Ovis aries: one gene and its partners. The protein of the gene in region 1 binds, or shares a complex with, the protein of each later gene. Links are inferred from orthologs where the notes say so. Each region holds a gene or a part of one and is shown in the gene's direction. Other genes may lie near its edges.

The links.
Region 2: EIF3G (region 1) and EIF3D share a complex: the UniProt entries of both Homo sapiens proteins name them as parts of the eukaryotic translation initiation factor 3 (eIF-3) complex. The link is inferred for Ovis aries from reciprocal best matches to the Homo sapiens genes EIF3G and EIF3D.
Region 3: EIF3G (region 1) and EIF3F share a complex: the UniProt entries of both Homo sapiens proteins name them as parts of the eukaryotic translation initiation factor 3 (eIF-3) complex. The link is inferred for Ovis aries from reciprocal best matches to the Homo sapiens genes EIF3G and EIF3F.

The regions. Positions count from the first base shown.
Region 1 is NC_056058.1:12,524,657-12,535,456, reverse strand, and holds EIF3G (eukaryotic translation initiation factor 3 subunit G), read left to right. Parts: upstream 1-5,013; 5' UTR 5,014-5,063; coding exon 5,064-5,083; intron 5,084-5,231; coding exon 5,232-5,278; intron 5,279-5,873; coding exon 5,874-5,957; intron 5,958-6,065; coding exon 6,066-6,154; intron 6,155-6,298; coding exon 6,299-6,358; intron 6,359-7,526; coding exon 7,527-7,631; intron 7,632-7,735; coding exon 7,736-7,925; intron 7,926-8,689; coding exon 8,690-8,797; intron 8,798-8,919; coding exon 8,920-9,056; intron 9,057-9,143; coding exon 9,144-9,250; intron 9,251-9,531; coding exon 9,532-9,547; 3' UTR 9,548-9,656; downstream 9,657-10,800. Other genes in the region: P2RY11 (P2Y purinoceptor 11), read right to left, coding at 9,923-10,800. UniProt on the Homo sapiens protein: RNA-binding component of the eukaryotic translation initiation factor 3 (eIF-3) complex, which is required for several steps in the initiation of protein synthesis.
Region 2 is NC_056056.1:180,567,433-180,576,794, reverse strand, and holds the end of EIF3D (eukaryotic translation initiation factor 3 subunit D), read left to right. Parts: intron 1-182; coding exon 183-315; intron 316-712; coding exon 713-860; intron 861-1,483; coding exon 1,484-1,614; intron 1,615-2,762; coding exon 2,763-2,848; intron 2,849-2,940; coding exon 2,941-3,070; intron 3,071-5,027; coding exon 5,028-5,170; intron 5,171-5,435; coding exon 5,436-5,785; coding exon of another isoform or gene 5,786-5,820; exon of another isoform or gene 5,821-6,221; coding exon 6,222-6,235; 3' UTR 6,236-6,367; downstream 6,368-9,362. UniProt on the Homo sapiens protein: mRNA cap-binding component of the eukaryotic translation initiation factor 3 (eIF-3) complex, a complex required for several steps in the initiation of protein synthesis of a specialized repertoire of mRNAs.
Region 3 is NC_056068.1:44,239,476-44,248,954, reverse strand, and holds EIF3F (eukaryotic translation initiation factor 3 subunit F), read left to right. Parts: upstream 1-319; 5' UTR 320-336; coding exon 337-736; intron 737-4,506; coding exon 4,507-4,577; intron 4,578-4,817; coding exon 4,818-4,897; intron 4,898-5,324; coding exon 5,325-5,462; intron 5,463-6,803; coding exon 6,804-6,895; intron 6,896-7,279; coding exon 7,280-7,416; intron 7,417-7,535; coding exon 7,536-8,027; coding exon of another isoform or gene 8,028-8,105; 3' UTR 8,106-8,260; downstream 8,261-9,479. UniProt on the Homo sapiens protein: Component of the eukaryotic translation initiation factor 3 (eIF-3) complex, which is required for several steps in the initiation of protein synthesis.

The DNA.
Region 1 (10,800 bases):
TTCAGTTCTTAATCAGGGAACTAAGGTCGCACATGATGTGTGGGGTAGCCACCACATAAATAAATAAATAGAGAACTAAAAAGAAAATTGTACTCCATACAGAAAGAATACTGTAGTGGAAGTACAAGCAAACCTCAGAGAGGTTGCAGGTTTAGTTGTAAACCACTGCTGCTGCTGCTGCTGCTGCTAAGTCGCTTCATTCGTGTCCGACTCTTTGTGACTCCATAGACAGCAGCCCACCAGGCTCTGCCGTCCCTGGGATTCTCTAGGCAAGAACACTGGAGTGGGTTGCCATTTCCTCCTCCAATGCACAAAAGTGAAAAGTGAAAGGGAAGTCGCTCAGTCGTGCCTGACTCTTCGAGACCCCATGGACTGCAGCCTACCAGGTTCCTCCGTCCATGGGATTTTCCAGGCAAGAGTACTGGAGTGGGGTGCCAGCGCCTTCTCTGTGTAAACCACTGCAGTAAAGCAAATATTGAAATTAATCGATAAAGAAAATATTATGAGTCACTTTTTTTTTTTTTTTTGCTTTCTAGAGCATATAAAACTCATGTCTGGGGGATTCCTTGATGGCTTAGTGGTAAAGAGTCTGCCTGCCAATGCAGGAGACACGATTCAATCCCTGATCCAGGAAGATCCCACATGCTGCAGAACAACTAAGCCTATGTGCCACAGCAATTAAGTTTGTGCCCTAGAGCCTGGGGGCCACAACTCCTGAATCCATGGAGCCCTAGGGCTTGTACTCCGCAACAGGAGAAGCCACGGCAATAAGAGGCTTGGGCACTGCAACGAGGGAGTAGTCCCTGCTCTCCACAACCAGAGAAGAGCCCAAGCCGCAACAAAGACCCAACACAGTCAAAAATAAATACATTTTAAAAATAAATAAGAGTCATGTTTGGACTTCCCTGGCGGTCCAGTGGTTAAGAGTCTGCCTGCCAGTGCAGGGAAGTGAAGTGAAAGTCACTCACTCATGTCTGACTCTTTGAGACTCCAATACAGTCCATGGAATTCTCCAGGCCAGAATACTGGACTGGATAGCCTTTCCCTTCTCCAGGGGATCTTCCCAACCCAGTGACTGAACCCAGGTCTCCCACATTGCAGACGGATTCTTCACCAGCTGAGCCACAAGGGAAGACCACCAGTGCAGAGAACAGGGGTTCAATCCCTGGTCCAAGAAGATTCCACATGCTGTGGGGCAACTAAGCCGGTGAGCCACAACTACTGAGCTTGTGCTCTAAAGATCCTGCTGTGCAACAGCGGAAGCCACCACAGGAGAAACCCCTTTGGCTGCAACTAGAGAAAGCCCTCACAGTAATGAAGACCCAGCACAGCCCAAAATAAATAAAATAATTTTTTAAGTCATGTTTACACTATGTACATACATGTGTATGTGCTCAGTGGCGTCCAAGTCTTTGTGACCTTGTGGACTGTAGCCCACTAGGCTCCTCTGTCCATGGCATTCTACAGGCAAGAATACTGGAATGGGTTGCCGTTTTCTTCTCCAGGGAATCCTCCCGACTCAGGGATCAAACCCACATCTCTTACATCTCCTGCATTGGCAGTTGGATTCTTTACCACAAGCGCCACCTGGGAAGCCCTATGTAGTCTATTTAAAGGGCACAATAGTATTATGTCTAGGAAAAAAAAAAACTTTTAATTTAATAATACTTTACTGCTAAAAATGCTAAATAAACATCATCTGACCATGCAGGGTTCCCATAAACCTTCAACTGGTAGGAAATCTATAAAGTGCAATGAAACAAAGTATGCCTGTAAAGATGAGGCCAAGTCGAAACACCCAGAAGCATCAGTGTTTAGTGGTTAAGGTCCTTTTGGGTAGCCAGAAATGGGCCCAGTTTTCTCTAACAGGGGTGAAGCTCGTTGGGCAATATTTAGCTAATCCCTTAGTCATGACCGTTGTGCTGTTTTCAGTTCCAGCCCTTTAAACCACATTGCACTGGACGCCTTCTTATAGCCAGTTTAGTGCACTTGGATGTATATTTCCTTAGGTCCCTTCTAGAAGAGGACATGCAAATTTGTGAGTATGAAAAACATGTTAAAAGGACTTTCCTGGTGGTCCATGACCAAGACTTCAAGTTACCAATGCAGGGGGTGGGGGAAGGGGCCCAGTTCAATCCCTGGTCAGGCAACTAGACCCCACATGGTGCAACTAAAGATCCCACATGCGACTAAGACACGGTGCAGCCAAGTAAGTAAACACAAAAAGAGAAGAGATTTAAAAAATATATTAAAATATATATACATACATTATATCTTGCATACATAACATAGGATGTATGCTATATATTAATACAAAAAATATAACTATAGTTTATGTATATGTTTATATTTAAACCAAAAAAAATCAGATGGTAAAAATTTTAAGTAAAACAGAAGTTTAGAAATAAGCTGCTCTTTCCTGATGGCTTCCTCTCAAAGCATTCTCTCAGCAACAGTTTGATAATTCTGATCCTAAAATAGCTTGAATGTATCTACATATCTATCTACTATTATTAAAGATGTACAAAAATTGGTTCCTATAGCATATGCCATTTTATACCTTGCTTCATCTCCTTTTCTTAGATGTATTTTTAACATGACCTCAAGTAGATCTACTTCCTTAAGGACTGAATAGCATTTAATAGATTACAGCATAGCATGCCTTTTTTTCTTTTAATATTTATTTATTTGGCTACACCAGGTCTTAGTTGCAGCATGCCAGATCTTCCCTGACCAGGGATCAAACCCAGGCCCCCTGAATCAGGAGCTCTGCATCTTAGCCACTGGACCACCAGGGAAGTCCCAGCAAGCATAACACGTCTTAATCTATTTAACCAGCTGCTGTTAATGGGCAGATAGGAATTTCCAGTTTTTGCTATCATGAACAGTACTGCTCGCATAGCTTGTTCTCACATCTTTACATACATTCCCAGGTTTTTCTCACAGGTTGAATTGTCAACTGGCTCAAAGGAAGACATGTAAGTGTATTTAAGCTTTAGTAGATATCATCAATATGCCATCTGAAGAGTTTGCATAATCTCACTAACAAAGTACGGGAGTGTCTTTTTCTCTGTATCTTTGCTACCATTGAGTAATATCGAATTTTTACAGTTTTGCCCAACTGCAACATTCAGTGTTTGGATTTTGCATTTCTTGAAGTAAACTTGAGTGAGTTTGCACAAATGTTTATTGATTCTTTGTACAAACTTTATAATAGTTTCATCTGTTGCCAGACTGCCCTCTTTCTTTTCTTTTCTTTTTTTTTTTTTGGCAGTGCCTCACAGCTTGCAGTCCTAGTTTCCTGGCCAGGAACTGAACCCATGACCCCTACAATAGAAGTTTGAAGTCCTAACCACTGATTGCTACTGTCTTGTCCGACTCTTTGTAACCCCATGGACTGCGGCATGCCAAGCTTCCCTGTCCTGCACTATCTCTCAGAGTTTGCTCAGATTCATGTCTACTGAGTCAGTGATGCTATCTAACCATCTCATCCTCTGGTGCCCTCTGGACCACCAGGAATTCCCAACCACCCTCTTTATTTACTTATTTTCCCAGCCTCCTTCCTGGTCTGCTGATTTATTCCTTTCCACCCTATCCTCTACAGGCTTCCAGAATAATCTTTCTCACAAGAAAATCTGGTCACATTGGGTCACCATTCAGAACATGTCAGCGCCTCACTCACACCCCACAGCCTGCAGGATAAAGAGCCTGTGCTGGGAATTCCCTGGTGGTCCAGTGGCTAAAACTCTGTGCTCAAGATACAGGGTGGCTGGGTTTGATCCTTGGTCAGGGAACTAGTTCCCACGTGCCACAACTAAGACTCTATGCAGCCAAATAAATAAAAATAAATATTTTTAAAAATGTTATATATGTTATATATATATACATGTATATATATGTAATATATATATAAGAGACTATGATCTTTAGTCTAGTTTTTAAAGTCCTTTATAATCTGGTTCCTGTCGGTTCCAAATACCCATGAATTGAGCACTTATCAAGTGTAGACACCCTGAGGGTGCTGGGGACCCAGAAGTGAACAAAGCAGGCAAATGTGTTTCTGCAGAAGTCTGCAGCAGTTTTTACCATTTTTTTCATTATCATCCCTCTAAAGGAGAAAAATGGAATTATCTTCCATTTAAATCAGTGTTAATCTAATTACATTTAATTTCTCCCTAACAATAGAAATTAAATGTTTAGAAATAAGATTTTGTCTGGGAGGGTTGGCTTTGGAGGCCACAAGTCATTGTCATCTCCAAGTTGGTTTTTTTTTTGTTTGTTTCTTTTTTGCCACAGAACAATTAATTTTGGTCCCCTTGGGAGTCATATCACTCCCACTGAGAATGCATACAGTAGAGGGAACGCTGGACAATAAGCAATAAATTAAAGAAAATGGAAAAGATTATATCAGGGAGCCAAGAATGTTACTAGGAATTCCCCGGTGGTCCAGTGGTTAAGACTCTGCACTTCCACTGCAGCGCCCAGTTCTGATACCTGGTTAGGGAATTAAGATTCTGCAAGCCTCACAGTGCGGGGGGGGGAGTTACTCAAGGAGGGAGAATAGTTAGGGGGTGACTTGATATCTTGATCATTTGAATCAGAAAAGTTATTTCCAGGCAAGGAAGACCAGTTTTGGTTTCTTCAGCTGAAAAATGGAAACGATAATTTCCTCCTCACAGTTCCTGCAAACAGTCAGAGCTATATAATTGAGCTTTATTGTCATTATTTTTAATTTTTAAAAAAAGTAAAAGAAAAGGTCCGGTGGTTAAGATTCAGTGATCCCAATGCAGGCCCTCCTGGTCCAGGAACTAGATCCTACATGCCGCAACTAAGACCCAGCGCAGCCAAATAAATAAATAAATAAATAAGATTTTCAGGTAAATGAGCCGAGCCTCTAATAGTAAGATACCAGGGCCCAGCCTCTCACATAGGCGGCGCTTCTACCTCCGTCCGTAGGGGGCGCTGTGGAGTGCTACGGCTGCTCTAGGCAGCGGAGCCGGAAGTCTCTTTCACCTCTTACTTCCGGTCTTTGGCCCAGGCTTGGGCTGCGTGGAGATTTTGCGATGCCGACCGGAGACTTTGAGTGAGTCAGGGGTCGTGGAGGGGGTTTGGTAAGCAGACCGGGGATGGGGGGCGGTCCTAGGAGTTAATATAGAGCCTGGGTGCGTTGAGGCCGCGGGAGCTGGGCCTCGCCTCACTCATCCCTCCTTTTGACAAACTTGTCCCCGCAGTTCGAAGCCCAGTTGGGCGGACCAGGTGGAAGAGGAAGGAGAGGACGGTGAGTCTACCTTGTCGCCTCGGATCACCGCAGCCCGGCCTCCCCCCGCCGCCCCAGGCCGTCACTGCTGCCTGCTCTGATCCTCCACCCTGGCACCGCCGTCAGACCCTGCATCTCCCCTCACAGCCAGCCCCTGCCCCGCGCCACTCTCATCTGGGCCAGCCTATCTCCAACTCCATACGTTCACCAGCCAGCCCATCTTCTGCCGTGCCACCGCCCAAGTCCTTGATGCCAGCACTTCTGCTTCCCTGCTCCTGGCAGGAAATTGTTTAACAGCCACACTCCTGCCTTTGTATTAATACTATTGCCCGGATGCCTGTGGCCCTCCCCTTCCCTCAGGCCCTCAGGCCCTCAGGCCCTCAGGCCAAGGATCCCCTTCCCCTTCTCATTGCTGGAAGTTACTACCGGCCAGCTCCGTGTCCCTGAATGGCTATCCCAAGACACTTCCTGGCCAGTCCTCTGCCCTTGGTCCCACCTTTCTCAGCTCCTGGTGCAGGCATCATCCCAAAGGTCCCTTGATTTCAGCTTGGGAGTTCCTGTCGCTGCCCACCCCTACCCCCCAGCTGACCCCTGCTCCCTCCACTCCCTGTCACAGACAAATGTGTCACCAGCGAGCTCCTCAAGGGGATCCCCCTGGCCACTGGGGATACCAGTCCAGAGCCTGAGCTATTGCCGGGAGGTGAGTGCCCGACTTCACTCCAGCCCTGGGCCGTCTCTCTCCCCAGCCTCCTTCCTTCTGGTCCCTATTACCCAGGGCTCAGTTCCTTTGTCTCTTCCTCTCTCCCAGCTCCACTGCCACCTCCCAAGGAGGTCATCAATGGAAACATCAAAACAGTGACGGAGTATAAGATAGATGAGGATGGCAAGAAGTTCAAGGTGAGGCTGGGGAAGAGGTGGGAGCCCTTTGCTTGAGGGGCACTTGGACTAGGGAGAGAGTGGTGTGTTGGATGTCTTGATGAGGAAGATCTGCTAGGAACCTTGAGGAGCAGAAGGCCCAAACGTTTCCCCTCCTATCCACAGATCGTCCGCACCTTCAGAATTGAGACCCGGAAGGCCTCAAAGGCTGTGGCAAGGAGGAAGGTAAGACCCTTCTCCCCCTTCCTTGGGGGCTCCTCCAGGGCTGACTCAAAGAAAAAATAGGAGTTCTTTTCCCTATTGCCTTCATTTTTAGAAGTGGGGTTTAACTGTTTGTTAAACAATTTCCTGGTGGCTTCCCTGGTGGCTCAGTGGTAAAGAATCTTCCTGCAATGCAGGAGATGCTGGTTCATCCCTGGGTCAGGACGGTACCCTGGAGAAGGGGATGATTACCCACTCCAGTGTTCTTGCCTGGAGAATTCCATGGACAGAGGAGCCTGGTGGGCTATAGTCCATAGGGTCGCAAAAAGTTAGACATGATTGAGAGACTGATGCTTTTTTGTTTCTTTCTAATTGTTTGGTTGCACCACACAGCATGTGGGATCTTAGTTCCCCGAGCAAGGCTTGAAACCACACCTTGTGCATTGAGAGTGCGGAGTCTTAACCACTGGGCCACCGGGGAAGTCCCCTGGGTGTACCTCTTCTGTTGGAGCAGAACTGAGGCCTGTGTGCAGTCCGTGGGGGCCCTGAAAAGTCCAGCAGGTGCAGGAGTGGGAGCGGAGGGGTTGGTTCTTACTTCTCTCGGCTTGTCGCCTGGGAGGAACAGAGCCAAAGCCCTCCTGTGAGGTGGTCGTAGCAGCAGAAGTGATGGCAGTAAATACGTTTTGCACAGTTACCTACATACTCGGTGTTAGACTCAGGTGCTTCGTGGGAAGTATTTTCTCATTCATTCCCCTAGCATTCCAGGGAGGTGTGGGGAGCATTGTGGTCCCTTATAGGGGAGGATGCCAAGGTACAGGTTGTTTAAGGAGCTCAAGGCCCCTGGAAATCTGGGTGATCCTGCACACCCCTGAGTATCACTCGGTGGAAGCTGGTCAGCCCCTGCCAGGGGTTGTTGGCTCTGGACCTGTTTACCCCTGAGCCTCAGTTTTCTCATCTGTAACATGAGGCTGAGAGCTGCCCCTACTCTTGGAGCTGGCATGGAGCTGGGGCCTGGCATGCCCTCAGGGAATAGCAACTGTCATCATCGCTTCTCCAAGGAGCATTTGAGGGCGGTGAATAGGGTTCAAGACTCACTCACCCTCAAGGTGGCTCTTGTTAAGTCTAGGGTGCAAATGGAGGGGGTCCCACTTGTCCTTGCCCTGACCTGTCCCCCATCCTGCCTTGAGCTCAGAACTGGAAGAAGTTTGGGAACTCAGAATTTGACCCACCGGGGCCCAACGTAGCCACCACCACAGTCAGCGATGATGTATCCATGACATTCATCACCAGCAAAGAGGTAAGTGTGGTGGCTGGCAGGGGGAGCCAGTGGCCAGGGTGTTACTGGAGGCAGCAGGGGAGCAGCTGAACTACCGTCTGAACTGCCACCACCTGCCCTGCCAGGATCTGAACTGCCAGGAAGAGGAGGACCCAATGAACAAGCTCAAGGGCCAGAAGATAGTGTCCTGCCGAATCTGCAAGGGTGACCACTGGACCACCCGCTGCCCCTACAAGGACACGTTGGGGCCCATGCAGAAGGAGCTGGCCGAACAGCTGGGCCTGTCCACTGGCGAGAAGGAGAAGCTCCCCGGAGGTGCCAGGACCTTGGGATATTGCTGGCAGGCTTGGGGGTTGGGGGGAGGAGTGGGAGTGGAACACAGGAATTGCGTGCATCTCTGGGAGTCGTGGGTCCTCACCTGGGGTCTGGACAGGACCAGCAGTGTTGGTGGTTATCACCTCCCACACGGCAGTAAGGCTGTGGCCACAGCCCACGTTGGTTTATGTGAAAGGCTGCAGGTGGGTGCTCTGCTGGTGACGTCACCTGTCTCTTCCTGTTGGGGCTGGTGAGAGCCTGTAGTGAGCACGGCTGCAGGTGTAAGGACATTGCGCGTAGTGAGGGAAGATGGCTGTTCTCTCAGTGTGTCTGTCCTGACAGGAGCTTGCTGTGTTTGCACACGTATGCATGCACACACACAGACACACACACATACACTGGAGTTCTATACTTGTGACTCGTGTGCACAGCCACTTGTCACCTGTCCCCGGGATGGGACCCTGGGGGCTGTTGCTACCCTGTGCACCGTCCTGGTGTGTGTGTGAGGCTGGGCGTTTTCTCACTGTGGGTTCTCTCGCTTTTCCTGTGCTGCTGGCAGGCCGGACATGTGGGTGGATCAGCCTGGGTGTGACCTTTAAGTCCTTTTAGTCCTTTTAAGACCTTTAGCCCTTGAAGAGATCCCCCAGATGGCCTGTGGTTTGAGAGGGAGGGTGCTTGGGGCTGGATCATGGCCGGAGCGGCTAGCGTCCTGGGCCAGGCCTGTGCCAGGGGAAGCTGGACCTAACCTTGCTTTTGGTCCCCAGAGCTGGAGCCTGTGCAGGCCACTCAAAACAAGACTGGGAAGTACGTGCCTCCTAGCCTGCGCGACGGGGCCAGCCGCCGCGGGGAGTCCATGCAGCCCAACCGCAGAGGTGAGGCGGGGGGGGGGGGCACCCCAGTGCTGGGCTGGTGCGCGGGCGGGCACCCCTTGTACCCTGTGATTATCCTGTGGGTGGGGCCGGCCCCTCAGCGACGCCTCTCCTTGCCTGCCCAGCTGATGACAATGCCACCATCCGTGTCACCAACCTGTCTGAGGACACTCGTGAGACTGACCTGCAGGAGCTCTTCCGGCCCTTTGGCTCCATCTCCCGCATCTACCTGGCAAAGGACAAGACCACTGGCCAGTCCAAGGTGGGCCAGTGGCCGTGGGGGCGGGGCGGGGTCCTGACTCCCAGCGGTGCCCTGAGCATTGTCCCTGACCCCCACTCCCTCCCCCAGGGCTTTGCCTTCATCAGCTTCCACCGCCGCGAGGACGCTGCGCGTGCCATTGCCGGGGTATCCGGCTTTGGCTACGACCACCTCATCCTCAACGTCGAGTGGGCCAAGTAAGACCTCTGCCCTCCGCCGCCCCTCATGGCATTGTAGCTGATGCTTGGGCTGACTGTGGGCCTCACCAGGGATGTCCCGGGGTGTGGGTCTTTGCTTCTCATGGAGGGCCCCACACCCCTAGGCCTGTCTGGCCCCAGGTGTGCTCCGTGCCGTGTCCCCCTTCCTCCCCGTTGAGTTCGTGTTGTGTATGTAAGATGGGTGGTGGTCCTGGGACTCCCTAAAGGGTCTAGAGCCCCCTCACTTGCCATCCTCACCCACCTCCTGCTTCCCTTTCTAGGCCATCAACCAATTAAGCCAGCTGCTGCTGTTGCTGCTCAGCCCCTGGCCCCGGGAACCTTCAGTGACAGAAGGCAGCCTCCTGGAGCAGAGGGCTTCAGGGCAATAAAAAGTCTCTAGTCTCTAGCCTTGTGCCGGACCATTTATTCCCTGATGTCAATCACACTGTTGTGGGTGGGGCTAGAGCCGGGGCCAACCCTCCACCCCCCACCCCCCCCATCTTGGGTTTGCTCTGTGGCCCTGCCCAGGGTTAGTGCTGTGAGTGGAAGCTCCTGCAGCTTTGGCAGCCTTTCTGTGGGGAGGAAGTGGCTCCTGGGGGCCTGCCCTCTGCCTCCATTCTGCTGCTGGGTTCCAGCATCTTGTGATGAGGAGGGGGCTGAAGATGGGCCAGGTCACGGGCTCAGCTCGGGGGACTGGAGCTCTGAGGTTTGGGGGGTTGCTGTGACGTTGAGGGGCAGGGCTTGGCTGGAGCACGGAGTGTCCTTTGGGGTCTGTCCCTGCCCGCAGCGTTGGCGGCAGCAGTCCAGGCTGGGCACCACAGCCATGTAGAGTAGCGGGTGGATGCAGATGGCTAGGGGTACAAGGCCCCGTGTCACCTGGTGGGCCAAGTATGTCCTTTGGTCCAGTGCCTTCTCAGCCGCGGCCTCACTCGCAAAACCTGGGCAGAGGGCTTGCCAGCGCAGCCGGGCGTACACGTTGAGCACTGCCGTGATATAGTAGGGCACGTAGGAACTGGCATAGAGGGCCACGCCGCTGGCCACCAGCACCATCACCTGCAGCTTGTTGGCTGCTGTCATGCCGTGGCTGTGCTGCACGGCCCGCCCCAGGGCGCCATAGGCTGCCAGGGTGAGCAGCAGCGGCAGGCCGCAGCCCAGGGCCGCCAGCGCCAGGCTGTAGACCCGGTAGGCCTCAAGCTGGCTGTCACCCGCTGTCCCCAGGCACTTGGTACAGGCCCCTGGGCTGGTCACAGAGCACTGGCCTTGGCGCTGGGACCTGCTCAGGTGAGAGAAGCTGAGCGTGGGGGCAGCGAGCAGGACCGCCAGCGCCCAGCCAGCGGCGCTGACAGCCCAGGCGTGCTTGGGCCGCAGTTGGCTGTGGGTGAAGAAGGGGTGGACGATGCCCATGTAGCGGTTGAGGCTGATGCAGGTGATGAAGATGACGCTACCCAGCAGGTTGCAGGTGAAGAGGAAGCGCTCGAGGCGGCAGGCAGCCTCGCCGTAGCGCCAGTGCTTGGGCGGGTAGAAGTAGGCAGCAAGGGGGGGCAGCGTCA
Region 2 (9,362 bases), on another chromosome or scaffold:
TGTGGAACCACTTCAGGCCCTGAGGGGGCAGGCCCTGCATGAGCTCTGAGAGTCCAGTCAGAGACTGTTTTCATCTCTCATGTGTTAGACTTTTGGATAAGACTTTGGATTCCGTGGTATAACAAAGAGGTAGGTAGTCTTGCTCCCCCTGACTTAGCGTGTGTTGCGTGCTTTCCCCTCAGTGAGTGCTGTGGTGCCCTGGAGTACTACGACAAGGCCTTTGACCGCATCACCACGCGGAGTGAGAAGCCGCTTCGGAGCATCAAGCGTATCTTCCACACCGTCACCACCACAGACGACCCCGTCATCCGGAAGGTGGGCACCCCTGCCCCATGCCCACCTGAGGGGAGCGCTGTAATACCGCCACTGAGGCCTCAGAGCAGAGATGCGGCGAGGGGGTGGAGGGGTGTATGAACCGACCGGGCCTCAGATGCCCCTGTAGATAAGACTCGATGTGACTCGATTTAGGATTAGGTGAAAATGAAGGCACTCTGCTGACCAGACCGTATGTGTTGGGGTGTGGCAGGTGGTCGGGAAACTGTAATTCCTTGGATCCAGGATACAAGCTTGCTGGCTGGCTTGCTACAGCCTGGCTTAGACAACCAGAGGTGTAGGTATGGGTGTGGGGCTCCTTACAGACAAGTCCTTTGCCTCCTGTGAATGGGCAGGTGAGCCCCAAAGTAGCCCCATCTCTCTGCTGTCCTCCTTGCAGCTGGCGAAGACTCAGGGCAACGTGTTTGCCACCGACGCCATTCTGGCCACACTGATGAGCTGCACCCGCTCTGTGTATTCCTGGGACATCGTCGTCCAGAGGGTCGGGTCCAAGCTCTTTTTTGACAAGAGGGACAACTCTGACTTTGGTAAGAAGCCTGTCTAGGAACAACACAGAGGCTCTGAGTGTCCTTGTTGGTCCAAAGCCATTCCCAGGCACAGAGAATGGGTAGAAGGTGTCCTGTCTCCCCACGAACACCAACAGCCATGTCAGAATGCCCCTCAGCCTCCTCAGAGATAGAGGAAGGGGCTGTCACTGCAGTACCCCTGCCAGGGCCCCAGCCTTCTGAGTCCTCGTGGCACCCCAACGCCGTGTTCCCACTCACTCGAATAGCGTCTTCCTGACTTCTGTCATCTCTCCGTACCACCTTCAGCATGCACTTGACACTTTTCTTTGGATTGATGCCTTTTTTATTTCAGCATATTCATGAAGGGAAAATGCACATGTACCATACACACAGGTATGTACACACACACATTGAATGAAAACCAGGTCACTCAAAAACAGATGTGGTTGTGACAGAATTCAACGTTAGCATCTCAGGCTATCCAGAACCCGCCCCACCCACCCCCGCTCAGGAGACCCAGGGCCGCAGCTGGCGGTCCTTGGAGGAAGGGCCTGTGTCATTTGAATCACCGCATCTCCCTAAGGGGCCCTACCCCTCTTTGGTGACTGTTTCACGGGTGGGTGACCGTGCTGCCGGTTTTGCAGACCTTCTGACAGTGAGTGAGACAGCCAACGAGCCCCCTCAAGATGAGGGTAACTCCTTCAACTCGCCCCGCAACCTGGCCATGGAGGCAACCTACATCAACCACAACTTCTCCCAGCAGTGCTTGAGGATGGTAAGGTCCTGAGCGCGTTCAGTTCATCGACCCCAGTTGCTGTCTACTGAGCACGTACTGGGTCGTCAGCTCTGGGTTGTGGGATTAGACAAGACAGAGCGGGGTCCCTGCTTGTCACAGAAGAGATCTCTGCTTGGGCTCTGAGGTCAGAAGGCCTGACTTTGAGCCCTAGATTCACCCCTTTTAGCTTTGTGGTGCCAGTCATGTTTCTTCTCTGAAATTGTTTAGTTGCAAAGTTGTGTCTGATTCTTTTAAGACCACATGCACTACAGCCTACCAGGCTCCTCTGTCCTTGGGATTTCCCAGGCAAGAATACTGGAGTGGGTTGCCATTTCCTTCTCCCAGGGATCTTCCCGATCCAGGGATGGAACCCACATCTCCCGCACTACAGACAGATTCTTTACCCCCGAGCCACCAGGGAATCCCCTCTGTAAAGTTAGAATACTTGAATAATACTTGTCTCATATAGATACATTGTGAAGATTCCTTGAAATATATGACCAGGACACCCTTGTGCACAGATACAGGTGCATTGCTTAGGAGCTGGGCATACAGCAACCAGCCAGCCAAAGTGCCTGCCCTTAGAAACCTTCATCATAATGGAGGAGGAAAGATCTTCCCTGTGGCTCAGGTGGTAAAGAATCTGCCTGCAGTGCAGGAGACCTGGGTGGGATCCCTGGGTCGGGAAGATCCTCTGGAGAAGGGAACAACAGTCCACTCTCTTCCCTGAAGAATCCCATGGATAGAGGAGCCTGACAGGCTGCAGTTCACGGGGTCGCAAAGAGTCAGACACGACTGAGCGACTAACACACAATGGAGGAAAGATGGTAAGCTCAGGATACATACATGCTGTGACAAATGATTGTGTGTACCTTGGAGGAAAACATAACAGGAGGGGGTGCTGTTGCTAGTTAAATAAGAGACTAGAAGCTCGTGTTTCACAAACTTGAGCATAGGGTGAACTCGAGCGGTACCTCTGTTGTGACCCACGGGGTGCTCACTTGGCCTCGGCAGTGTGCCCAGAGCCCCCTCAAGCTCTAGGGACCCGGGGGGGGGGGTGGGCTGTGACAAAGGAGAGGTGCAGGTTATGGCTGATTGCCTTGGCAACGGGTTGGCACTGTCTCACAACACCTGTGTCATTTTTACAGGGGAAGGAAAGATACAACTTCCCCAACCCCAACCCATTTGTGGAGGACGACATGGATAAGAATGAGATCGCCTCTGTGGCGTACCGGTATGTCTCCTCCCTGGTGTCCCCACCCTGTGTGGGTGGTGCATCTGGACCCAGGGCCTCAGGTGACCAGAGGCACTCGCTCTTCCTTGCAGTTACCGCCGGTGGAAGCTCGGGGACGACATCGACCTCATCGTCCGCTGTGAGCACGACGGTGTCATGACTGGAGCCAACGGGGAGGTGTCCTTCATCAACATCAAGACCCTCAACGAGTGGGACTCCAGGGTGAGGCACACGGGACACCATGTCCCGGGCTGGCGCCTGCAGCCTGTGTCTCTTCCCCTTGCCTCATTTACAGAGGTTTTCTGTCTTCTGAGTTTTCCCCCTACTTAGTTCCGCTTTGAGGAAGAGATCGTGTGTGCGGGTGATTACCTTTCCTCGGTGTTTTCTGTCTGTCCATTCCGATCTCCTGTTGGCTTCTGCCCTCTGCAAGTCTCTCCTTATGAGCTGGGCTGGCAGCTCTCCTGTAAGTCGGGCAGCTCTCCTGACCTGTTATTTACTTATGGCAGCCCCTACCTGGTTTTCAACCTTGTGGCACCCTTTTTTCAACTTCGTCTCTTACTGAACTCAGATTCTCAGATTATCCCAGATCTGGCTTTTCAGGAGGGGCATCTTGAAAGAAATACGCATCCTTCATTTTTCCTTCTCTTTTCGTTCTCCCAGGCTGGTGTGCCAGGATGGGGCTATCATCCTTTCTGAAAGTACCTGGCCTACACACCTGAATTTAAAATGTGTGGCCATGCTCCTAGTCACTGGTGTATAGAATAAAAGGGTCTTGGTTAGGACAGCAAGGACAGGCCTGTGTTAACGAGGGTCCAGTGAGATGGAGGTCAGGGCCCATTGTGCTGTGCCTGCGTTAGAGCCAAGGCATTAGCATTCCAGGCACCAGGTTTCACTCCTCATGTGTTCTTTAGTTTCTGTCACCTGCTGAGAGCACCCTGGAAGGTTTGCTGCGAACCTAGCTCTGAACCAGTGGCCTTTTCTTAGACTTTGACCACAGCCTCCCAGGAACATCGTTCTGTGTGACTGTGCCCTCTGCTACTGCCATAGTCTGGTCCTGCACGTTTCTCAGCTGCCTTCACGTTTCCTTTGCTGTTTCCCCTCCTTTTTAATCCCCCAGTGGCGCCTTCTCTTAGGGTCGGTCCCTTATGCAACTCTTTTGCCGCAGTCACTTCTTTATACTGTGCGTGGTCCACTCAGGTGGTCTCCCTATCTTAAGAGACCTTGATTCCATCTGCAGAATCTCTTTATAGACATGAGGTAGCGTGATCCTGGGTAGTTATACTCAGGGTTCCCCCAGACTCCAGGATAGCAGATGCAGCAAGAGCAGGGCCACCAGGGACCATCTTAGAATTAAGCCTAACCCCAAGCCTCATCCTTGAACTCCAGAAATGATTCCTGAAATCTCTTCTGACTCCTGTTCCATCATTGTTGTTTTTGTTTTGGAATTTTTTGGTGGTGGTTTTTTTCTAAAATACTTTGTCCTTTCAGTGTCTTCCTTTGTCATTCCCTCTGGCTTGACTGTCCACTGGTGTCATTTCTCCTGCTCGCTTAGGCTCAGAGCCTCAAACGTCTCCTCCTCCTCCGCTGCACCCTTGAATTCTGCTGTCAGGCTCAGTCTGTCTACTTGCCCAGCCCTAGGTTTCACTGACATCACCCTAGTTCAGGAGCCTTCTCATGACGCCTGATATTTTGCATTTGTCTCTTAACTGACCTCCCTAACTCCCTCTCCATCAGGTCAAACCTACCTGACCTCCCCTCCCTCTGCGGGCTTCCGCACTAAAGCAGTCCATCTCTTCCTTGTCCCTCTCAGCCCTCCCAGCTCCAGCTTCTGCCAGTATTCCCCACGGGTGAGCTGTCACACTCCCCTGTGAAACTCTTCCTCTCCAAACCACATGTGATAAACACTTGTATGGCACTTGTTTCTAACGTGTGAATATATGTCCTGGTCTGATTAAGACCTTGTGAAGAGAGGAGTTAAGTTTGTTGAGCACCAGCTATGTGGCAGGCTGTGCAAAGGAGGGACGGAGGCCCTACCCCTTAAATGATGTCTTCTGCTCTACCTGTGGGCTTTCCCCTCCCTGGTTAAGCCCACTAGGGACCTTCTTCTCTACCAGAGGGGCCATCAGTCCACAGGCAGCATGGTGCCTTGGCGCCTATAACCAGGGCCCTCCTCCCACAGCACTGTAACGGCGTTGACTGGCGACAGAAGCTTGATTCTCAGCGAGGGGCTGTCATTGCCACCGAGCTGAAAAACAACAGCTACAAGTTGGCCCGCTGGACCTGCTGTGCTTTGCTGGCCGGATCCGAGTACCTCAAGCTTGGGTGAGATTCCTGCCCAGGAGCCATGAGCTCATCTTCGGAAAGGAGGGGTCTTCGCGTTAGGAGACCAAGGCTGCCTTTTTCTCCCTTTTCTTGGGACAAGCACGAGGCCACCATTTAACTAGTAACTCAACCCCAGGCACAGCTATGTCTTTGTTCCGGCAGGCCCCACCCTAACACTCCTCCCCCCAGTAGTTAACGTGTCCCAGTGCCACACGATCTGTGCCAGCCAGGCCCCACCGTAACACTGCCACCCACCTCCCCCCAGTTATGTGTCCCAGTGCCACATGGTCTGTGCCGGCGGGCCCCACCCTAACACTCCTCCCCCCGGCAGTTATGTGTCCCGGTACCACGTGAAAGACTCCTCACGCCACGTCATCCTGGGTACCCAGCAGTTCAAGCCCAACGAGTTCGCCAGTCAGATCAACCTGAGCGTGGAGAATGCCTGGGGCATCCTGCGCTGCGTCATCGACATCTGCATGAAGCTGGAGGAGGGCAAGTACCTCATCCTCAAGGACCCCAACAAGCAGGTCATCCGTGTCTACAGCCTGCCCGACGGCACCTTCAGCTCCGATGAGGACGACGAGGAGGAGGAGGAGGAGGAAGAGGAAGAAGAAGGTGTGTGGCAAGCCTCCCTCAGGATTCTGGCGTGACCTGTGGGCTGGTTGGGGCCTCTAACCAACCAGTCCTCTAACCTCAGTGGAAAACTCCAGGAATTCCCTGAGGCTTCACTTGGTATGGCATTCAGTCTAGTTCCAGGAGCCACTTCCAGAGCCTTTCGAGCACTTGACGGGGTTGGCGAGGAGAGTTAGGGCAGGAAAGAAACGTCTAGAGGAATGTGCTAGAAGTCCCTGATACTAGCCAGTGGCCCCAAGAAGGAATGATGCTCCAGGTTCATGTTAGGCCTTAAATCGTTCTCTCACCTGCTTCACCAGTTGGTGACTAAAGGAAATACCTGTTAGTCCTCTGAGGATCTGAATGGTTTCACATCTGAGTGAAAGTGTTGGAAATCATAAGCAATTCACCAATTTGATACAACCTTTGTATGTTTCAGAGGAAGAAGCCTGAACCAGATGGTGACGCGGAACTGGTGTCTGCGACTGCATCGAGCCTGGAGGACCCTGAATACCTGGTGGGATGTGTGTCTGACTCTTGCTCTCTGAAGCTGGGCTATTGAAATAAACTCTATTTAGTCCCTTACCTTCATCTGTGCCTACATTATGACCGATAGCCCTTCTTCCTTCTCCTAGTAGCCTTTCAGAGAGGGAGGGTGAGACACAGCAGAGTCTCTCTGGAGTTCATAATCTGGGTTCCCGCCTTTGTTCTCAGCATTAGTGGTTTTACATTCCTGCTAGAAGGTGAATGCCCTGGGGTGTTTTGTTCTTGGAACCCCTTGAAATTATCCTTTGCCAGGGAGTGAGATCCATTGTGAGGTCCCCATAGGAAGTCCATTTCACAAGCACAAGCTGGCTACATGCCAGACCCAGCTGCTGCCCTGAGACACACACATCACAGTAATGATGAAGCAGGGCAGTCTTTGAAGCTTGAGGTGAGGTCGCTGCTGTGAAGGAGACCGCTTCAGAATGTCCTGAGGGATGTTCCATAGGCTGTTGATTGTAATGGTTTGTATAAACTTCCCTGATAGCTCAGTTGGTAAAGAATCCACCTGCAATGCAGGAGACCCCAGTTCAATTCTTGGGTCAGGAAGATCCCCTGGAGAAGAGATAGGCTACCCACTCCAGTATTCTTGGGCTTCCCTTGTGGCTCAGCTGGTAAAGAATCTGCCTGCGGTGTGAGAGACCTGGGTTTGATCCCTGGGTTGGGAAGATCCTCTGGAGAAGGGAAAGGCTACCCACTCCAGTATTCTGGCCTAAAGAATTCCACAGACTGTGTAGTCCATGGGGTCGCAAAGAGTCAGACACAACTGAGCAACTTTCACTTTCACTTGGCTTGGGCTGGTGATGTGCTCTCAAGCCGGCACCCTCAAAGCACTGTGTCATGAACAAATATCTCATCCTGACACAGAACTGTGATGCTGGTGGAAGTGATGCCATTGTACAGATAAGACTGGCTCCACTTTTGGGTAGCAGTCCTAAATTTAACGATTTTGGTCAAAATAATTAAGCCTCAGAAAGCAAGCAAAAATGTATCGGACTTTATTGTCCAAGTTACTAGGAAAACCGTATTAAGGTGTGCTTCTTGGGGAGTTTTCGGTGTAGGTGGAGCATTAGAAAATTCACATTATAGTGTGACAAGTGTGGGGTTTCAAGGTCAGGCTGGTACTCCCCAAGCTGCCTCCTGCAGACCCAGCATGCAACCTAGCAGGATTATCTGGAACAAGTGGCCCAAACACGTCTTAACAGCAACCTCCACCTGCTTCATGTCTTTCATCTGTCCTCCACTTCCCCCAAGTTGATGGCTGTAAATAGCCCTGCCTCAAAACCGGTAGCATTCTACAGTCCAGGCTCAGCCTAGTCTGAAGGCCCTGCCATACCTTATCAGTCCTAATTTCCCAGTACAAGATAAGACCAGCAGTTTGAAGTACTTAATTATTTGTCCACACCCATTCTCATGATCATCATAACTACTAAGAAGTTGACCTCCCTAGCTTCATTTTTGGTTAGGTGCTTTTGTCTGCTTTTAGTGTTTATTCAACAAATTACTAAGGGCCTGCTGTATGTCAGATACTGATGGAAGCCCTGAGGTCGCTATAATGATTAAGATTCATTTCTGCTCTAACAGGAGCTTTTCTCTGAGGCTAATAACAGGCTAGGAAAAAAATAAATGGCATTCCTAAGGGTGTACTTAGGTCTGAGAGCTCAAGAAAGACTCTCTAGAGAAGTTTCAGTGATGAAAAGCTGGGAAACCAGTGTTTTTCCAAACTCACCGTGGCTGCCTTCCCACTGGAACCCTCAGCCCCATCTCACAGGACTACTTAACAGCTCCTGAGGTTCTTCCTTTATTCATGGGTGCACTGTATTCCGTGCAGGTAAATCTCATTCAGGATTCACAGTTCACCTCAGGAATGCCAGCCCCGGCCACCCAGTTCCCTTGAGTGGGGTGCAGGGTCACCCAGTCACCCTCTATATTGCCTCCACTTCAGCCACAGTTGCTGGGCATGAGCAGTGGATTTGGGCTTGGGTGTCTACACTGCTCTGTCATAGGCCCCTTTGTTTACAGTATTACCAATGATAAGGTAAAAATTTCTATTTTAAGGCAAGACAAGAAAGGTTAAAACCTCTTCCCTCCCCTCTAGTGTGCATTGTGCTTCCGTGTTATGCATTAACCACAAGTCCTCAATGGCAGAAATAACCTGCTCAACCATAAAGTTCAGTTTTTCTTCTGGTGCCAGTCATGGAACTCCTTAGGAGATAACATTCATTTTTCGGTCCTGTAAGGGGTCACAGTGACCCACCACGTGCTTTGTACATGCAGACATCTTTGTTGAACTTCATGTACAATGCCAATGTGCCATTTCCCTTAAAAGACAGCGATGAGGGCAGAAAGGACTAGTCAGATGACCTGGGGAGTTACTGGGCTGCACCTAACGAAAGCTCTCAGCTTAAATACTTCCTTAGGAAAGAATGTTGCTAGCTGTATTTCACACGTTCTGCCTATTTTACAAGACTTTTTTTTTGAGTTGCTGTTGTCTTAGTTGTGGCACACAAGCTGTTTGTTGCAGCCTGTGGGCTTCTCCCGAGTTGTGGTGCATGGGCTCCTGAGCACACAGGTTCAGTAGTTGTGGCTCACAGGCTTGGCTGCCCCATGGTATATGGGATCTTAGTTCCCCGACCTGAGATGGAACCCATGTCCCCTGCATTGGAAGGCAGATTCTTAACCACTGGACTACCAAAGAAGTCCTTAAGAATATTGTTTCTTACACAACCAGATGTGTGACAGAGCCTCCAATAAAAATGATGACTAGGCGACCACAACAAATAACACCGTTCTACAAGGTCAGTGACAGTAACAGTCTGACTCTATAGATAATGGGAAGAAATAGAGAGGATCATTACCTGAACCATAGCAGACCAGTAAGACAGGAGGTCCAGAGGCTTTTGGCTTCTACTAACAGAACCCAGTCCAGTAATAACACACTGAATGGCCTATCAATGATTCCTTGCCTGGCCTGAGAATGAGCATTCCTATCACCATGCGCCATATCAGTCACAGAATACCTCTCAAACCTTGGTCA
Region 3 (9,479 bases), on another chromosome or scaffold:
GTCAAGAACAAAGCTCTTTCCTTGATGCCAATTATCCCATTGAAGTGCCAGCTGCGACCTTTGCACCGCTCTATGGCTCCATCTGGTGGCAGTGTCTCTCTCCTCCCAGGGCGGTCGCAAGTTTACTCGGAACTACTTAGCTTGATTCTCACTGAGTGCGCATCGGACCAAAATCAAAGAGCACAAACACAGAGCCGGAAATTGTAGCTCTGAGAAGCATCATCAGTAGCCAGTAAGCAGAAGCACCTAGTTCACGTGGTGCAGGTTCAGCCTATGGTGCTCCTAATGTTCTCCAACTCGCTCCCTTCCGCTCCTCGCTCCTTCTCTCTCGACAAGATGGCCACACCGGCAGTACCGGCGAGCGCGCCTCCCGCCACCCCGTCCGAAGCCCCAGCTGCGGCCTCATCTCCGGCCTCGGCCTCGGCCCCGGCCCCAGCCCCAGCCTCAGCCTCGGCCCCGGCTCCATCGCCGGCTCCGGCTCCAGCTCCATCGCCGGCTCCCGCGTCATCCTCAGACCCGGCAGCAGCAGCGGCTACGACCGCGGCTCCGGGCCAGACCCCGGCCTCAGCGCCAGCCCCAGCGCAGACCCCCGCACAGTCTCTCTCTGGCCCTGCTCTCCCAGGCCCCTTCCCCGGCGGCCGCGTGGTCCGGCTGCACCCGGTCATTTTGGCCTCCATCGTGGACAGCTACGAGCGACGCAACGAGGGAGCTGCCCGAGTTATCGGGACCCTGCTGGGTGAGTGGTCAGGGGAAACTGACGTTCTCCTCTACTGCCCACCTTGTTTTATCTTGTCCCCCTTTCTTCTCACTCCCTTGTAGTTATTTGTTGAAAAAGTATCGTGTGCCAAGTGACTCACATTTTATTTTTAATCTTTGCAGTAGCATTTCACTTCAACGGTTATTAGTCCCAATCGACGGAAAATGTGTTCACAACCTTACTGGGACGTCAAAAACCTTTTGACTCCTTAAACCCAGTGACCAAGTTTTCCCCCCTTACCTACTACTGGTCTTTATTTTCCGAGTGTTAACCGAGAAGTTTTTTCTAACTAGTTGGCAATGGAGTGGGGACATCTGTAGAAAGATATCCCTCGCAGCAAGTAAACCAGTTTGGCAGGAACCCATTTGAATTTCAATATTCTGCTTTCTTAAACGTCTAAGCCTGATCCGCCTTTCCTCGCTCTCTGTAATACTAGTCACCAGTGAAATATAGACCCCCGTTCCCCCACTGTAGACTGTGATTCTTCGTTTGGACACAATTAATACAATACAAATCTATTCTTTGTATTAACGATTACATGGAGAAATAACTTTTTTCCCTGACATGTTCCAAATTTGAGAAATGGGTACTTTATGTTAGAGTAAAACCGAGAAGCCCTAAAAAGGGATTTCTGACGATGTATTCTTTTATCTGGGGACGTCGGGTCCCATCAGATTAATTTTTCACTCCATCTTGATCACAGATACGGGGCACTTTTGTGATTCCAGTTTAGTCCCATTTATGATTTCTCTTTCTTAACCCTTGAACTTGTAATAGTTTCCATTGTAGAAGACAGTTGGTGTATTGAGAAGAGGACGGTAGTTGTAGCCAGACTTCTGCAAAAGTTAGGGAAGTCTCTTTCCTTCAGGGACTTGCTGAAGACATCTAACTGTGCTGACACAGACTAGGTATGAAGCAGCTGTCGGTTGCTGTCGTCCACCGCATCATGCACACTCCTGACACACACATTCTCTCTCTTATCTTTGAGAGAGTAGCATTTCACGGAAACTTCAGTTGATCCGTTATCTTACGAACATTGCCATAGCTATCTCAAACCAAGCCTTTGTATTCTCTTTGCTTGTTCTCCCTTATTTTTTCCTTTAAGCTCCACTCATTTTCCAGGTTCCCAGGAAAAGTTTTCACTCTGTCCTTCATCCCATACCCCCACCCTCACCTCTACTCATAATCTCCCAAAGTGTGAAAGTGTTAGTCACTCAGTCCTGTCGGACTCTTTGCGACCCCATGGACTCTATGGTAAGAAACAATTCTCAATTCTCCACCCTAGGTTTGTATTCAGTTCAGTTCAGTCGTGTCCGACTCTTTGCGACCCCATGAATCGCAGCACGCCAGGCCTCCCTGTCCATCACCAAATCCCGGAGTTTACTCAGTCTCATGCCCATCAAGTCGGTGATGCCATCCAGCCATCTCTTCCTCGTTCGTCCCCTTCTCCTCCTGCCCCCAATCCCTCCCAGCATCAGGGTCTTTTCCAGTGAGTCAACTCTTCGCATGAGGTGGCCAAAGTACTGGAGTTCAGCTTTAGCATCAGTCCTTCCAGTGAACACCCAGGACTGATCTCCTTCAGAATGGACTGGTTGGATCTCCTTGCAGTCCAAGGGACTCTCAAGAGTCTTCTCCAACACCACAATTCAAAAGCATCAATTCTTTGGCGCTCAGCCTTCTTCACAGTCCAACTCTCACATCCATACATAACCACTGGAAAAACCATAGCCTTGACTAGATGGAACTTAGTCGGCAAAGTAATGTCTCTCCTTTTGAACATACTATCTAGGTTGGTCATAACTTTTCTTCCAAGGAGTAAGCATCTTTCAATTTCATGGCTGCAATCACCATCTACAGTGATTTTGGAGCCCCCAAAAATAAAGTCTGACACTGTTTCCACTGTTTTCCCATCTATTTCCCATGAAGTGATGGGACTGGATGCCATGATCTTCGTTTTCTGAATGTTGAGCTTTAAGCCAACTTTTTCACTCTGCTCCTTCACTTTCATCAAGAGGCTTTTTAGTTCCTCTTCACTTTCTGCCATGAGGGTGGTGTCACCTGCATATCTGAGGTTATTGATAGTTCTCCCGGCAGTCGTGATTCCAGCTTGTGCTTCTTCCAGCCCAGCATTTCTCATGATGTACTCTGCATAGAAGTTAAATAAGCAGGGTGACAATATACAGCCTTGACGTACTCCTTTTCCTATTTGGAAAAGGCTGCTGTTCCATGTCCAGTTCGAACTGTTGCTTCCTGACCTGCATGTAGGTTTCTCAAGAGGCAGGTCAGGTGGTCTGGTATTCCCATCTCTTTCAGAATTTTCCACAATTTATTGTGATCCAGACACTCAAAGGTTTTGGCATAGTCAGTAAAGCAGAAATAGGTTTGTATTAGGTGCCCCCAAATATTACAGTGACCGGAGTTAGACCAGCTGTCATCTAGGGTTTCAGCTCCTCTTCCAGAATGGAACCGTGGTACAATGCTAGATGTTACAGAGGCAGTGCTTACTGAAGAGTGACGCACAGATTCCACTTGCTGAGAACCTTAGAAATTTTAAGTTAGAAAGCGATTCATGAGACATATTCCATTTGGTTAAATTAAATCACTAGTACCTTTTATGTGCCATAAAACTATTAGATACTTAGAATTCAAAAGCTGATAAAACGAATGCTACTCTTAACCTTAGATTCAAGATGAAGATGTACTCTTACATGCAAGTCACTGGAGTATAATGTGATAAATGCTCTAGTAGAAGGATGCCATAATGGCATGCAAGTACAGAAGACTTGACTATTTCAGAAGTTCGAGTGGTCAAGTCTGTTGACAAGAGGTCAAATAAGATACAGAGTATGCATACTGCTAAATGTAAAATAACAAGGACTTACTGTATAGCATAGGGAACTATACTTAGTATTAATGGAAAAGAATCCGAAAAAGAATATGTGTGTATATACAGGTATAACTGAATCACTTTTCTGTACACTTGTAACATTGCAAATCAACTGTACTTCAATTAAAAAGAAAAAGTATCATTGGGTTTGGGGATATAGTTTCAGCCAAGAGGGCAGAAACCACAGTGAAGTGGGATTAAATGACCCTGATGGGTCAGGAGCAACATTGTAGTTTGTTGGAGAAGAAAGCACTGGAAGCTAGCAGGAGGGGCTAGTAGGTTAGGGTAAGGAGCAATCAAGGATTGAGAGTCTTCGTGAGGTCAAGAAACAATGTAGCAGGAATAAAAATATCAGAACTAGGAAAAGTTTGTGGCGTGATGTTTAGTGTTCACAGGGAGAAGTTTTCTGGATGATGGTAGGGTTAAGGTTATGACTGGGACCATATGGCTGCAGGGAGGTACAGGGGAAGCTCCCTAAAAGTATTCTCTGAGGATGGGCTACTACATGAATGGTCTTCATAGACACAGTGAGAATCCTCCAGGCAGCTGTGCAGGTGAATTATATTAAGAAGAAAGTCCAGAGGCTGAAAGACGAAGATCTTAGAGTGAAGATCTGGAGCAGGATGGGTAGCAGGAAGTGAGGCAAAAGGAGGCCCTGGGAAGGAAGAATAGACCCTGTTAAAGAAGAGAGTTGGAGATAACTGTGGAGTTTCATTTCTCTGGAAAACCCAGCTTCCATTGGTGCACATGGCTGAAACTTGATTTTTGTTGTTGTTCCTTGACTTTGAGGAGACCTCTTGAAAGCATTTGGGGCAGTTGGAAGCCCAAGATTTTATAACACTTGGACTATTCTCTCTCACAGGAACCGTTGACAAGCACTCAGTGGAAGTCACCAATTGCTTTTCAGTGCCACACAATGAGTCAGAAGATGAGGTGAGTGGGGATTTGAGGCCCCCATACGGACTATGACTATTCATTTGCCAGGCTCTCTGTGAGGCCCTCCTACACCAAGTGTGCCATGCTCATAATTAGAACTGCAGTTCGAAGAGCTTTGTTCCATTTGGACATACTTGCCGGGCCTCTCCTCTTTGTTGAGAGTGGCCTCTTGTCCTGTTCACCCATTTTGCTGTGGACTTGTGGCTTCTTAGCCTTCTTTTCTGCCCTTCTTCTTAGGTGGCTGTTGACATGGAATTTGCTAAGAACATGTATGAGTTGCACAAGAAAGTCTCTCCAAACGAGCTCATCCTGGGCTGGTGAGTTGGGACAGGGGTGGAACGTCTCTGGTTGATTGCCAGCGCCTTTTGCCACCTGACTAGGTATCGTACTTCCTCTTTTGGAGACAGGGTATTGAATGTGTATTATCTCAAGGGGCCAGGAATTCTGTGTGTTTTGCTGGCAGTTCTGATCCTGTGAGGCCAAGAATACTCATTTTGAGCTGCAGCTTCTGAGCAAGTCGTTTTTGCCTTGCTGGTGACTTAGTTTTTCATGAGCTTTTAAGTCAGCCTTGTTTTAATTGATTTAATAAAATTATCAGTGTGCTTTTTTTTTTTTTTCCTCAATGTTGTCCCTGGGGGTATAACTACTGCAAGGGTGTCAGGTGCCCAGAGACACCCATGCCACCATCCTGTTTAGTATTGATGTCACATGTGGACATGAGTCCACAACTCTTCCATTTTCCAGGTACGCTACAGGCCATGACATCACGGAGCACTCAGTGCTGATCCATGAGTACTACAGCCGAGAAGCCCCCAACCCCATTCACCTCACAGTGGACACCAGCCTCCAGAATGGCCGCATGAGCATCAAGGCCTACGTCAGGTGACCGGGGGCTTGGGCCGCAAGGGCATGAAGGCTCCTTCATTCCTGCTAAGCCTGGGTGTGACACCCGCCTCCACCCCATGCCAGTGTCATCCTGCAGTCTGCAACTTGCTGCCTCCTAAGGGAGCCCCTGCCTCACTCTCGGCAGTTATCACTGGAGAGGTTTTACTCAGAAAGAAACTGTCCCTGAAGTTACCACTCACTGACCCTTGCCTGCCCAGACTTCTGCTCATTGCTCATAGCCAGTTTCCAAGGGCAGCCCTTTAGGTATTTGAGCAAGCTCGTTTTTCCTGTCATCTTTTCCAGAAGTTAACTCATACACAGCTCCTACCGCCGATCCTCACATGGCATGCTGGCCAGGATTCTTCTCCACGTTCACTGATTTTTTGAATTGCCCTTAAGTTTGTCAAAATCCCTAAAACTGTGCATAGAAAACAGGGCAGTACAGATTGAAGAATGGCTGTCCTTATCTTACACATGTCTATTAATCCTGGATATAGTACAGTTCGAATGATAGTAACATTGCTCTGTTGGCACATTGAGCTTGCAAGCAACTGGAATGCTGGGTGATGGGGGATGTTGGGAAAGGCTATAGTGGCATGCCAAAAAAGCGGCGGCTGTAGGAGTTGAAAGGATTATATTTTCTCCTTGGAATGATGCCCTTTGTTAGTGCATCTCTTACGACACTTAACTTTGTGCTGTTTCTATCTCTGACGCTGAAGTGACCCGTTAACCATTATGCGGTGGGATAGAGGTGGTGCATGTCAGTTCTTACAGGCCAGTTATTATACTACTAAACTCTATTTGTTGATTTCTTAGCCTTTCCAAATATTTCAGACTCCTGTAGATCCAACGAAAGTGTATAGTTGACTAAGTAAAGGCAGTCACCTTTACTGAGATTAATTATTGCACCCAGTCTAATCTTGATGGACCAGAATAGATTTTTTTTTTCAGTGCTGATGAGTGCTTTTTGGTCCCAGAAGAGACCTGTCCTGTCACTTCTTTCTGTGGGGAAGGATGTCTAGGCACCCAGTTCCACAGGGATATTCAGCGTCCTGTCCTCTTCACTGAGATTTCAGTGTGTGCAGTAATCCTCTGTAAAGGGTCCAGGCCCCATCCAAATGCTGAGTCCATTCTCTCAGGCCAAGAGTTTGGTTTGTGGAAAGAGCTAAGGGAAGAAAGTGGCTTGTTCTCTTCAGACCTCTGGGCTTCATCTGGTCCAACCTTCTCATCTCAGAACCTTGGAAGCCATACTCTTGATATGCCTGCTTTCCCAGCCAGGACCGAACATGGAAACTGTCCCCCAAAGCCATCTGTTAACCTTGACTTCTGTCTCTGCAGCACTTTAATGGGTGTTCCTGGGAGGACCATGGGGGTGATGTTCACCCCTCTAACAGTGAAATACACATACTACGACACTGAACGCATAGGAGGTAAGTGACCTCCCCATTTTTAGGTCCTGGACATTTTTCAAGGGAGGGGATTTCTATATAACAAGGATGGAGGACCTTGGGTGGCTTAAGAGCAACCATTGATCTAAGGTTTGTATGGGACTCAAGGAATTATTTGAGAAGTTGTTAGAGGTGGGAAATCATCAGCCCCAGAGGCTACGTGGCCAGTCATATAAGACCAAAACTAGTGATTAGCATCCTAGGTGCAGGAGTTGAACTCTCTCAGAGGAAGAAAAGCTAGTGGGGGGGGGGGGGGGGTGGGGAGTTCAGGGAAGCTGACTGAGTCCAGAAGGAGGTAGTTAGAGCTCGCTTTTCTGATGGGATGGCTGAATTCTCTTGTCTCTTGCACCCCGCCTGCTCCCACAGTTGACCTGATCATGAAGACCTGTTTTAGCCCCAACCGGGTGATCGGCCTCTCCAGTGACTTGCAGCAAGTGGGCGGGGCTTCCGCTCGCATCCAGGACGCCCTCAGCACAGTGTTGCAGTATGCGGAGGACGTGCTGGTGAGGACGGGAGGAGGAGGGCGTGGGTCTCCGCTGCGAGGCGGCAGGGGCTGCACTGGCGAAGCCGCGGTCTCAGAGGCAAGAATTAACCGTGCTACATTGACTCTTTTGGTGCTTAGTCTGGGAAGGTGTCAGCCGACAATACCGTGGGCCGCTTCTTGATGAGTCTGGTTAACCAAGTACCCAAAATAGTTCCCGAGGACTTCGAGACCATGCTCAACAGCAATATCAACGTGAGTGGCGTCCCTGGGCTCCTGGGAGCCTGCACCTCAGCACGTACACGTGTGAAGGGGGTGGAGGAGGTGGCCTGGAGAGGACAGAGGAGGTGGGGCAGCACGTTTGGCCCCCTTGCAGTCCAGGCTGTGAGGAGGAGAGCACAGGTGCTCAGAGATTCTCCTGCCGTTTCTTTGCTTCCCATGACTCGGGTGTATCAGAGATGGGACGATGTTCTCAGGCGTTTCCTTTCTGTCTTCCTCCTACTCTCAGTCAGCCTCTCCCAGCTTTCATTTGCCCAGGACTGCCTTACCCTCAGTGTCCATCACACAGCTGGCCAGCCTTTCTGCTTACTCTCTACCCAGCCCCGCACTCATCCTGGATTCCTTCTCTTCTAGGACCTGTTGATGGTGACATATCTGGCCAACCTCACACAGTCACAAATTGCCCTCAATGAGAAGCTTGTGAACCTGTGAAGGGGCCGCGGGCAACCCTCCTGCTACACTGGGCCCCAGCCAAGCCCAGGACCCAGAATGGAGTGAAGGAGAAATGGTGTCTGTGGTCTGAGTCACACTGAGTCAATCAACTGCTTGTGACTCTAAATAAACATAGAGTACCTTTCGTAAGTGAATTCCATCTAATGTGAGTTTCCCTCTGGGTGGAAGGGAAAAGGCAGTTCTGGAGCTCACCCAGGAACTAGGAAGTGAGTACTTTGGTGGAAGCGGTCGTGTGTGTGTGGTCTGAATCCAGGGCTGGATTTTTTTCTTGTGCCACTGTCTGCTTCATAGTTTAGTTGCCCAGTGAAATAACTGCTCTCATAAAGCAAAAATACAACATAATGGGAATGTAAGGGCTGACCAGAGTCTGTCAGAGTCTATGTAAGACATGATATCTGAGCTGATGTTTTTTTCTTAAAACCAGGAAATCCGGAAAGGGTGATTGGGACAAAGGAAGTACATGGAAAATTGCTTAACCTGTTTAGAATCTAAGAAGGCAGGAGCCAGACCAGAAGGGCCCACAACCTGTGGAGTTTGGATTTTTATCCTGGAAGTTGTGGGAAGGCATTGGATAATTAGATTTGGATTTCAGGAAGATTACTGGGTACTGGTATAGAGGAAGGAGGGAAAGGGAGAAAAACAGAAGGCAGAGAGCTAGGCAGAGGGTCACTGTGATTGTCAAGAGAGGACGAGAGCCCAGGTTCAGGCTGGGCCTTGGGGATGGTGACAGAGACTTGGGTTCAGGAGGCAGACCCAAGGAGGACCTGGAGTCTGGTTGACACTTGGATGGTGAGAGATGGGAGCAGTCTGGGATGTTGCCTGGTTTCTGATAAAGGTGATAAAAGGCCTGGTCATATATGAAAACCCTGGCTACTCGAGAGTGGTGGAAGCTGAGGATGCAAAGGTAGGGTTACAGGGTAGTTTACCAAATGGTGAAGTCTTAAATGCAGATAAATGTGACATTTTGTAAACTGGGGCCACACCAGATGTTTTGAGAAAAGGCTGAAGAAGTCAAGTTATGTGTTGGCTCATGTAATACTTATCAAATGCTGACCAGTACACTAAGCAAGAGGTCCTGGTGCCTGCTTAGAACCTGCAGGGGGGACAAAGAGACTGTCACTTTGGGAATCATGAGATGTTACAGTTCATGGAAGACTTCCAGTTAGGAAATGAAATCTAAGCTGGACTTGAAGAATGAGAAAGAGGCAGATTGAAAAAGAAGAGAGGAAAATAGGGCATTCTAAACAAAAAACAGTATGTGCAAAGGCTTGGAGGAAGACTGTCACCGAACGTTGCTCCGTTGTTGCCCACCCTGGCCACAGAGTTGTTTATAAGACGAGAACACTCTCTGTG